Linked DNA regions of Kluyveromyces lactis. Each later gene encodes a partner of the first gene's protein in a complex. Links are inferred from orthologs where the notes say so. Each region holds a gene or a part of one and is shown in the gene's direction. Other genes may lie near its edges.

The links. The genes of interacting proteins can lie anywhere in the genome.
Region 2: the proteins of QCR8 (region 1) and CYTB are in contact, whole or in part, in a crystal structure (PDB 4PD4), measured with the Saccharomyces cerevisiae proteins. The link is inferred for Kluyveromyces lactis from reciprocal best matches to the Saccharomyces cerevisiae genes QCR8 and COB. Residues at the interface, in NP_012369.1 of Saccharomyces cerevisiae: Thr8, Tyr9, Met10, Gly11, Trp12, Trp13, Met16, Gly17, Gly18, Pro19, Gln21, Gln55, Tyr58, Val59, Ile61, Pro62, Ala63, Ile65, Tyr66, Trp69, Trp70, Gly73, Asn74, Tyr76, Asn77, Leu80, Tyr81, Asn93; in NP_009315.1 of Saccharomyces cerevisiae: Ser15, Asp19, Ser20, Pro21, Pro109, His202, Ile203, His204, Gly205, Asn215, Leu216, Arg218, Ile219, Pro220, Val320, Lys323, Phe324, Phe327, Ile328, Phe331, Asn332, Leu335, Gln338, Cys342, Glu345, Val346, Pro347, Tyr348, Met351, Ile354.
Region 3: the proteins of QCR8 (region 1) and MAS1 are in contact, whole or in part, in a cryo-EM structure (PDB 8ABH), measured with the Yarrowia lipolytica proteins. The link is inferred for Kluyveromyces lactis from reciprocal best matches to the Saccharomyces cerevisiae genes QCR8 and MAS1. Residues at the interface, in XP_504875.1 of Yarrowia lipolytica: Trp10, Trp11, Gly12, His13, Met14, Gly15, Ser16, Pro17, Pro18, Gln19, Lys20, Gly21, Ile22, Ala23, Gly24, Tyr25, Thr26, Ile27, Ser28, Pro29, Phe30, Ala31; in XP_500073.3 of Yarrowia lipolytica: Met176, Val264, Gly265, Ser266, Glu267, Val268, Arg269, Leu270, Arg271, Asp272, Asp273, Thr274, Thr356, Thr357, Asp447, Glu457, Gly458, Tyr460, Tyr462, Asn463, Arg466.

What each region holds. Positions count from the first base shown.
Region 1 is NC_006037.1:609,807-611,851, forward strand, and holds QCR8 (ubiquinol--cytochrome-c reductase subunit 8), read left to right. Parts: upstream 1-1,248; coding exon 1,249-1,533; downstream 1,534-2,045. Other genes in the region: ERG20 (bifunctional (2E,6E)-farnesyl diphosphate synthase/dimethylallyltranstransferase), read left to right, coding at 1-953. UniProt on the Saccharomyces cerevisiae protein: Component of the ubiquinol-cytochrome c oxidoreductase, a multisubunit transmembrane complex that is part of the mitochondrial electron transport chain which drives oxidative phosphorylation.
Region 2 is NC_006077.1:20,110-23,291, reverse strand, and holds CYTB (apocytochrome b), read left to right. Parts: upstream 1-1,464; coding exon 1,465-2,625; downstream 2,626-3,182. UniProt on the Saccharomyces cerevisiae protein: Component of the ubiquinol-cytochrome c oxidoreductase, a multisubunit transmembrane complex that is part of the mitochondrial electron transport chain which drives oxidative phosphorylation.
Region 3 is NC_006040.1:1,526,251-1,529,642, reverse strand, and holds MAS1 (mitochondrial processing peptidase), read left to right. Parts: upstream 1-1,425; coding exon 1,426-2,835; downstream 2,836-3,392. Other genes in the region: KLLA0_D18117g (CybS family protein), read right to left, coding at 1-392; histone acetyltransferase NGG1, read right to left, coding at 2,977-3,392. UniProt on the Saccharomyces cerevisiae protein: Catalytic subunit of the essential mitochondrial processing protease (MPP), which cleaves the mitochondrial sequence off newly imported precursors proteins. Preferentially, cleaves after an arginine at position P2.

The sequences.
Region 1 (2,045 bases):
TCGAATGGTACGAAAAATCATTGAACTACAACACCCCAGGTGGTAAGTTGAACCGTGGTCTTTCTGTCGTTGACACATACGCGCTTTTGAAAGGTTACAAGTCAGTGAGCGAACTATCTGCAGAAGAGTACAAGAAGGTTGCCATCCTTGGTTGGTGTATTGAACTGTTGCAAGCGTACTTCTTGGTTGCTGATGACATGATGGACCAATCGATCACAAGAAGAGGACAACCATGTTGGTACAAAGTGGAAAACGTCGGCGACATTGCGATCAACGATGCATTCATGTTGGAAGGTGCCATCTACTGTCTGTTGAAGAAACACTTCAGAACAGAGCCATACTACGTCGATCTATTGGAATTGTTCCATGACGTTACTTTTCAAACCGAATTGGGTCAGTTGTTGGATTTGATCACTGCACCAGAGGACAAAGTCGACTTATCCAAGTTCTCTTTGGAAAAGCATTCCTTCATCGTTATCTTCAAGACTGCATACTACTCTTTCTACTTAGCAGTGGCACTGGCCATGTTTGCTGCCGGTATTACCGACTCAAAGGACTTGAAACAGGCCAGCGACGTATTGATCCCATTGGGAGAATATTTCCAAATCCAAGACGATTTCTTGGATTGTTTCGGTAAACCAGAAGATATCGGTAAGATTGGTACCGATATCCAAGACAACAAATGTTCTTGGGTCATCAACGTTGCATTGAAGAATGCTACAAAAGAACAAAGAGATATCTTGGACGAAAACTACGGTAGAAAGGATTCTGAAAAGGAACAAAAATGTAGAGCTGTATTCAACGAATTGAACATCCAAGACATCTACCACAAGTACGAAGAAGAAACCGCTTCCAACTTAAGAGAGAAAATCGCTAACATCGACGAATCCCGTGGGTTCAAGGCCGAAGTTCTAACCTTGTTCTTGAACAAAATATACCACAGAAAGAAGTAGGTAAAGCATATATTATCTAACCATTTTAGATCACGTGCAACTAAATAAATAAAAGTAAGTTTCACTACCAGTATCACTGTATACGAACCAATAATACTACGTTTCGGCCTTTTCGCTTCTAAAAGACGAAGTCTTGAAAATCTTCCAGCGAGGGAAAAAGCTTTATATATAAGAAATAAGCTTTAAACCTCTACTTATTCAGATATTCAAATGATGCAAAGATGGAAAACTATTATACATAGTTTAGTCTCTGACTCAGTATCCGCAAGACCAAGAATTAAAATATTAAGACGAAATGGGTGGTCCACATGCTAAGGCTTACATGGGCTGGTGGGGTAGTATAGGTTCCCCAGCCCAAAAGGGTATTACTACATACACTGTTTCTCCATATGCTCAAAAGCCATTGAACAACATCTTCCACAACGCTGTTTTTAACACATTTAGAAGAGTTAAGAGCCAAATTTTGTACATGGCTCTTCCAGCTGCTTTGTACTGGGCTTGGTGGGTCAACTGCAGAGACTACAACGCTTACTTGTACACTAAGGCCGGTAGAGAAGAATTAGAAAGAGTTAACGTTTAAACAATGTTATTACAACACTAGACTAGTTCCTTTCTTTCTTCTGTCCAGGTTTAAAAGCTTACATGGAAAAAGAGGTGCGGCAGCACCCTTTTGACACTTTTATCAACATTCAAGATATATTTCTCACGTCACAAGAACATTTTTTATCATGTCAGGCCATCGAAAAGAGTTTCAGTATTATTAGATACTATTGAAAAGGAGAGAGCGAGTGGAAGTTCACATCCTCGGTTTTTAATTCTCTCTTTTCGGGTTTGGCTCAGTACCGTATTTATTGGAGGTTTTCATCAAGTGGTTACTCCCCTCAAATATATCTTCTATACTTCACTGTTTATACGAATTTGAAAAACTACTTTATTATGAATACTTACATCTGCGTGTCAAGGGCGTGATCGTCGTGCTCATATGTCGACGATCGGTGTGCTTGCCTGTTTTACATGTATATATATATATAGATGGATAAGTTTCTCCACTAATGAAAGTCACGTGACGTTATTACTTTCCCCCCGTAAAGG
Region 2 (3,182 bases), on another chromosome or scaffold:
ACCGCGGGGGGGGCTAAAATTAAATAAAGAATTATATATATATTCTTAATAATATTAATTATTAAAATATATATAAATATATATAATAATTTTTTTAATAATAAATATTGATATTATTATTTATACTCCGCCATAATATATCCCTAAGGGATATATTATGGCGGGAATATCTTACCCCCCTTTTAAGGGGGGGGTTTATAGATATTATATCTATATTAATAGTAACCAAATACCTCGTATAGGGCTTTGATATAAATTTTTATATAATAATATTATTTATATAAAAATAATAATAAATTAGTATTTCGCCATTAGTCATACGACTAATGGCGGGAGTTTATATATTTACATAATCCCGCCATATTGCCAATATTGGCAATATGGCGGGGTATTCTATTATTATATATACCCTTTTATTACATATTATATAATCTCCCAATTCCTTATGGGTTGAAATACGAGGATTATATATATATATATATTTTTGTATATTATATATTAATATATTATATAATAAAATTAATAAATAATGATTACCCCGCGGCTCACAACCTAGGTTGTGAGCCCCGGGGAAGAAATTACAATTCGCCTTTTAGGCATATATTTTCATAATATATATATATATATTTTTATATATTCTATATATATAAAATAATAAATTAGTTCCCTTAAATAGGGATAATTTAGCGAGATAGTTTTAATTAACTTACCCCCCGCGGCACACCCAACCCTACGGTTGGGTGAGGCCGCGGGGGGAATCTATATATAAGTTAATAGTAGTTATATTAGCTCAATTGGTAGAGCGTTCGTTTTGTAATCGAAAGGTTTGGAGTTCGAATCTCTAATATAACAGACCTTATCGTCTAATGGTTACGACATCATCTCTTCATGTTGAAAATATCGGTTCAATTCCGATTAAGGTTATATATTTTATAATCCCTTCTCCCCCGCGACATGACCCTCATAAAGGGTCATGTCGCGGGGGCTGGATATATTACCAAGTATATCCGTGGGATATATTAGAAGTAATATATAATTATAAAATAATAATCAATATACATATATATTATATATGTATCAAATTACTTGATAATAATATATTTATTATATTATTATAATAATTATTATATATATATTATTATATATATAATACAATAATATTATATTTATAAAATATTTATTTATCTCCCGCGAAATTATAAATAATTTCGCGGGGATATTCATATAAATAATATATATAAATTATACATAATTATATTATTATAATTATATATTTATCCCTTTCTCCCGTGGCATCACCCGACCCTCATAAAGGGTCGGGTGATCCGCGGGGGTCATATTTATATAAGGGCCCCGCGGCTCCTCCACGACGTTCGTCGTGGGGAATATATAATATTTATATTATATATTTAATATATATTATATTTATATATATATTTAAAAATATAATAATTCAAATAAAATATGTCATTTAGAAAATCTAATATTTATTTAAATTTATTAAATAGTTATATGATTGATTCACCACAACCTTCATCAATTAATTATTGATGAAATTTAGGATCATTATTAGGATTATGTTTAGTAATTCAAATTTGTACAGGTATTTTTTTAGCTATGCATTATTCATCTAATATTGAATTAGCATTCTCAGCTGTTGAACATATTATGAGAGATGTTCAAGGAGGATGATTTATTAGATATGCTCATGCTAATGGTGCATCATTCTTCTTTATTTGTATGTATATTCATATTGGTAAAGGTTTATATTATGGTTCATATAGAGCTCCTAGAACATTAGTATGAAATGTTGGTGTTATTATTTTTGTATTAACAATGGCTGCTGCTTTCTTAGGATACTGTTGTGTATATGGACAAATGAGTCATTGAGGTGCTACAGTTATTACTAATTTATTCTCAGCTATTCCATTTATTGGTAATGATATTGTATCATGATTATGAGGTGGATTCTCAGTTTCTAATCCTACTATTCAAAGATTCTTCGCTTTCCATTATTTAGTACCATTTATTATTGCTGCATTTGTAATTATGCATTTTATGGCATTACATACACATGGTTCATCAAATCCTTTAGGTGTTACAGGTAATTTAGATAGATTACCAATGCATGGTTACTTTATTTTTAAAGATTTAATTACTGTATTTGTATTCTTATTCTTCTTCTCATTATTTGTATTCTTCTCACCTAATACAATGGGACATCCAGATAACTATATTCCTGGTAATCCATTAGTTACACCTGCATCTATTGTACCAGAATGATATTTATTACCATTCTATGCAATTTTAAGATCAGTACCTGATAAATTATTAGGAGTATTAGCTATGTTTGGTGCTATTTTAATTTTATTAGTATTACCTATTACAGATAGAAGTGTTATTAGAGGTAACGCATTTAAAGTATTCTCTAAATTCTTCTTCTTCTTATTTATTGCTAACTTTGTATTATTAGGCCACTTAGGAGAATGTCATGTAGAGCCTCCTTTTGTTGTAATGGGACAAATTGCTACTGTAATTTATTTTGCATACTTCTTAGTTATTGTACCAGTTGTATCAACAATTGAAAATGTATTATTCTATGTAGGTAGAAAAAATGCAAAGTAATTATTAAAGGTAATAATTTAACTAATCAATATTCTTTTTTATCTATTTTTAATAATAATCAAAAAAGATATTATTCTCAAAATATTAATAATGATTAAATTTAAATCAAAATAAGCCCCACAAATGCGGCATCACCCAACCCTTATAAAGGGTTGGGTGTACCGCGTGGGGAAGAATATTATAAATGTTATAATGAAGTAAAATCAAAACATAATTAACCCCGCGGCTCATCCTCTGGTAATCCCAGAGGATGAGACCGCGGGGGATTTATTATTTGAATATTTAGATTTAGAAGCCCCGCAAATGCGGCATCATCCAACCCTCATAAAGGGTTGGATGAGCCGCGTGGGGAAGAGTAATAGTTTAAAATTAAAAAAAGTATTATTTAATTATGAAAATAATATAAACCCCGCGGCTCGTCCCCGGGGTATCCCGGGGACGAGTCCGCGGGGAAAATATTTTAATTTTAAAAATGTTAAATAGTAATTAATAATAAAATTATTTCAATATTCTTTTTTTTATTTAATATATATATTATATTAAATAAAATTTATAAA
Region 3 (3,392 bases), on another chromosome or scaffold:
GAACCTAGTCCAAGCAAGTACATGGCGTATGTGTGATTCTTACCGTAAACTCTGCTTGGAATATAATCGATGATACAGGATTGGAAACCAACGTAACAGTGACCTAATAGTACGGAAGCCAATGCAGTGTCCAAAACAGTAGAAATGGAACCAGTGGCAGCTAGTGGTACGGTGACCAATGGAATTAAGGAAATGGCCAAAACTCTTTCAAAATCCCAATGCAATGATCCGTGTAGTTTTTCTGGAGCTGGAGGGACGTAAGCATCGTTAACGTTACCCTTCACACCGCCCGGAGCTTGTGGCAAGGTAGATAAGAATGGAATGGTCAAATTCTTTCTGGCAGTAGTTTGGAAAGCTCTTGCTTGAGTCAACTTCACGGTTCTTGAAAACATCTTTATTTATTCTTCAGTACTGGTTGTAAGTAGAGTGTATTTTTATCGGAAATTCCTCAATACTCAAATTATCCTATTGTTTCGTCAAAAGGATGGAATATAGCAGGAAAGATGTGGTAATTGCTGGACAGTACAGAAGTGTCGACCTTCTATAATCAAGCTAATAAAGTTTCAAATTCAGAGGTTCTGATTGAAAGGGAAAAGTAAAGCCGAAAATTTAATGAAGTGAATGGCGAAACCAAGACAACGTCACTAGGTTATCAAAAAGTTCTTCGAGTATAGAGTATGAAATAGACTATCCCCACAGTAAAAACAATTATTCTCGTAAAACAATGGCGATCAGAGTTTAAAGTGATTTTAATAGGCTCTGTTGAATCTACGTATATGTGGTTAAATATAAATATATATATATATATATATATATATATATATATATTGAGAACAATGAATAGTTCTGTCTATTGTATCATGCTTACGCTTTTTTATTTTCATTTTTTTGCGCGCATCGTTACCAGTTTCCACTGTTTTCTCCGTAGGTTCCTTAATCGGCTCCGGACAAATAGCGGACTCCTTCTTTCTATGATCATCAAGTGCTGCTTGGTAATTTTCTGTTAGTAAGTTTCGGGTCATCTCGGAGGGTAATGAAAAGTGTGACTCGCTTTGCGGAAGAAATCGGAATTTGAGTGACTTCCAGAGCGGGTAACATCTAACTTTCGATCTGAAAAAATATACACCAAGAGCGTGCACAAATATTATCGTTACCCGGGATTTAGCGAATCACGTGCATCTTACTTTTTATCCGGGTAATATGTTATTCGTTGTCTGTTGTGTTTAGTATGTGCTCAGTATTTATTAGTAAAGTCTAAATATGATCTAGGCAATCTTTTCAAGTACATGAGTATATATATATATTTGTTCATATACGTTGCTAAATAGCTTAGTGTTCGGTAAAACAAGTGAGTAGTTGTTGGCCATAACCTGTTGCTATAAATTACATATTCTTTCACTTTACGAATAGTTCCCACTTGTCACAATGTTCAGAGCCCTGGCAAGCGCACGGCGTTCTGTTGCCTCTGTGGGCCTTGGTAGGCTCCGCTACTCGACTGAAATTAATGGTTGTTTATCAAAAACGGCCACATCAGTGCTACCTAATGGATTAACAGTTGCATCCGAATCTTTGCCAAACACAAATACTGCCACTGTAGGTATCTTTGTTGATACCGGATCTCGTGCCGAGAATGAGAAGAATAATGGAACAGCACATTTTTTGGAGCATTTAGCCTTCAAGGGTACACAAAACAGATCACAAACTGGTATTGAACTGGAGATTGAGAATATCGGTTCACATTTAAATGCCTATACTTCGAGGGAAAACACTGTGTACTATGCAAAATCACTCAAACAAGATATACCAAAGGCAGTCGATATTCTTGCAGATATCTTAACTCGTTCAGTATTGGATCCAAAGGCCATTGAAAGGGAGAGAGACGTCATTATTAGGGAGTCTGAAGAAGTTGATAAGATGTACGACGAGGTTGTTTTCGACCATCTCCATACAATCACTTATAAGAATCAGCCTTTAGGAAGAACTATTTTAGGGCCTATCAAAAATATAAAGAGTATTCAACGATCTGATTTACAAGAGTTCATCGAAAAACATTATACGGGTGACAGAATGGTACTTGTCGGTACAGGTGCAGTCGATCATGATAAATTGGTAGAATACGCAGGTAAGTATTTTGGACACGTTAGAAAATCAGAAGCCCCAATTCCTCTAGGTTCTCCACGAGGTCCTTTGCCTGTTTTCCATGGGAATGAACTCAAGATTCAAGAAGATACATTACCAACTACCCACATTGCGTTAGCTATTGAAGGTGTATCCTGGTCGGCACCAGATTACTTTACTGCTCTTTGCACCCAGGCAATCATTGGTAACTGGGACAGGGCCTTGGGCACAGGTACTAATTCTCCTTCACCTCTTGCTGTTGCTGCATCTGAAAATGGTACTTTAACTAATTCCTACATGTCATTCTCAACATCGTACGCCGACTCCGGTTTGTGGGGTATGTACATTGTGGCTGATTCTCAACAACACGATATAAAGTTAATCATTGACGAAATTTTAAAAGAGTGGAAAAGAATTCGGTCCGGACGTATCTCGGACGATGAGGTAAACAGAGCGAAAGCAAGATTAAAAGCCTCTCTACTTCTTTCTCTAGATGGATCGACTGCAATAGCTGAAGATATTGGAAGACAAGTAGTAACGACTGGTAAAAGGTTATCACCAGAGGAGGTTTTCGAACAAGTTAATAAAATCACAAAGCAGGACATTATAATGTGGGCAAATTATAGGCTGCTCAATAAACCTGTCTCTATGGTTGCTCTAGGTAATGTCAAAACGGTTCCATCTTTATCATACATTCAGACTAATATGAATAACTAAGTAACAAGTAAATATCATAAATCATAATTGCATCAAATATAGACAGGTACATTTATTCCACGTATTCTATATAATAAAGGGTCTAATTCCACTAGCTAGCACCAAAAACCAGCTTGACGCCAGTCTGTCAGTTATTTCAATTTATTCTTCTTTATTTTGTAGAGTTTCATTTAATTCTTCTTCCTTCCCGTTGGCATTATTGCTGAACACATCTGCTTCTTCTTCTTCCTCATCTTGGTCTATATCCTTGAATACGCTATCTCTTGGAATACGCTTCATGACTTCCGGTTTGTCAAACAAAGGACCAATCTTGCTTATCCATCTTTGTCTCTTATCCAACAAAGATTTTAGACTCGAGTTAGCGGCTTGTTGGTGAGCTGCCTGAATAGCTGCCTGAGATGTTGATCCGGTTGCTAATGAATCCGGCCCAGGTGTATATTGCCTCTTTTTCTTATTTTTCGGCGCACGAATACGTTTGATATATGCTTGGTCAACTTGCTTATCAAGATTGTCCAATATGGTACAGTACTCTTGCCATGCGAGCATCCTCTCCAATA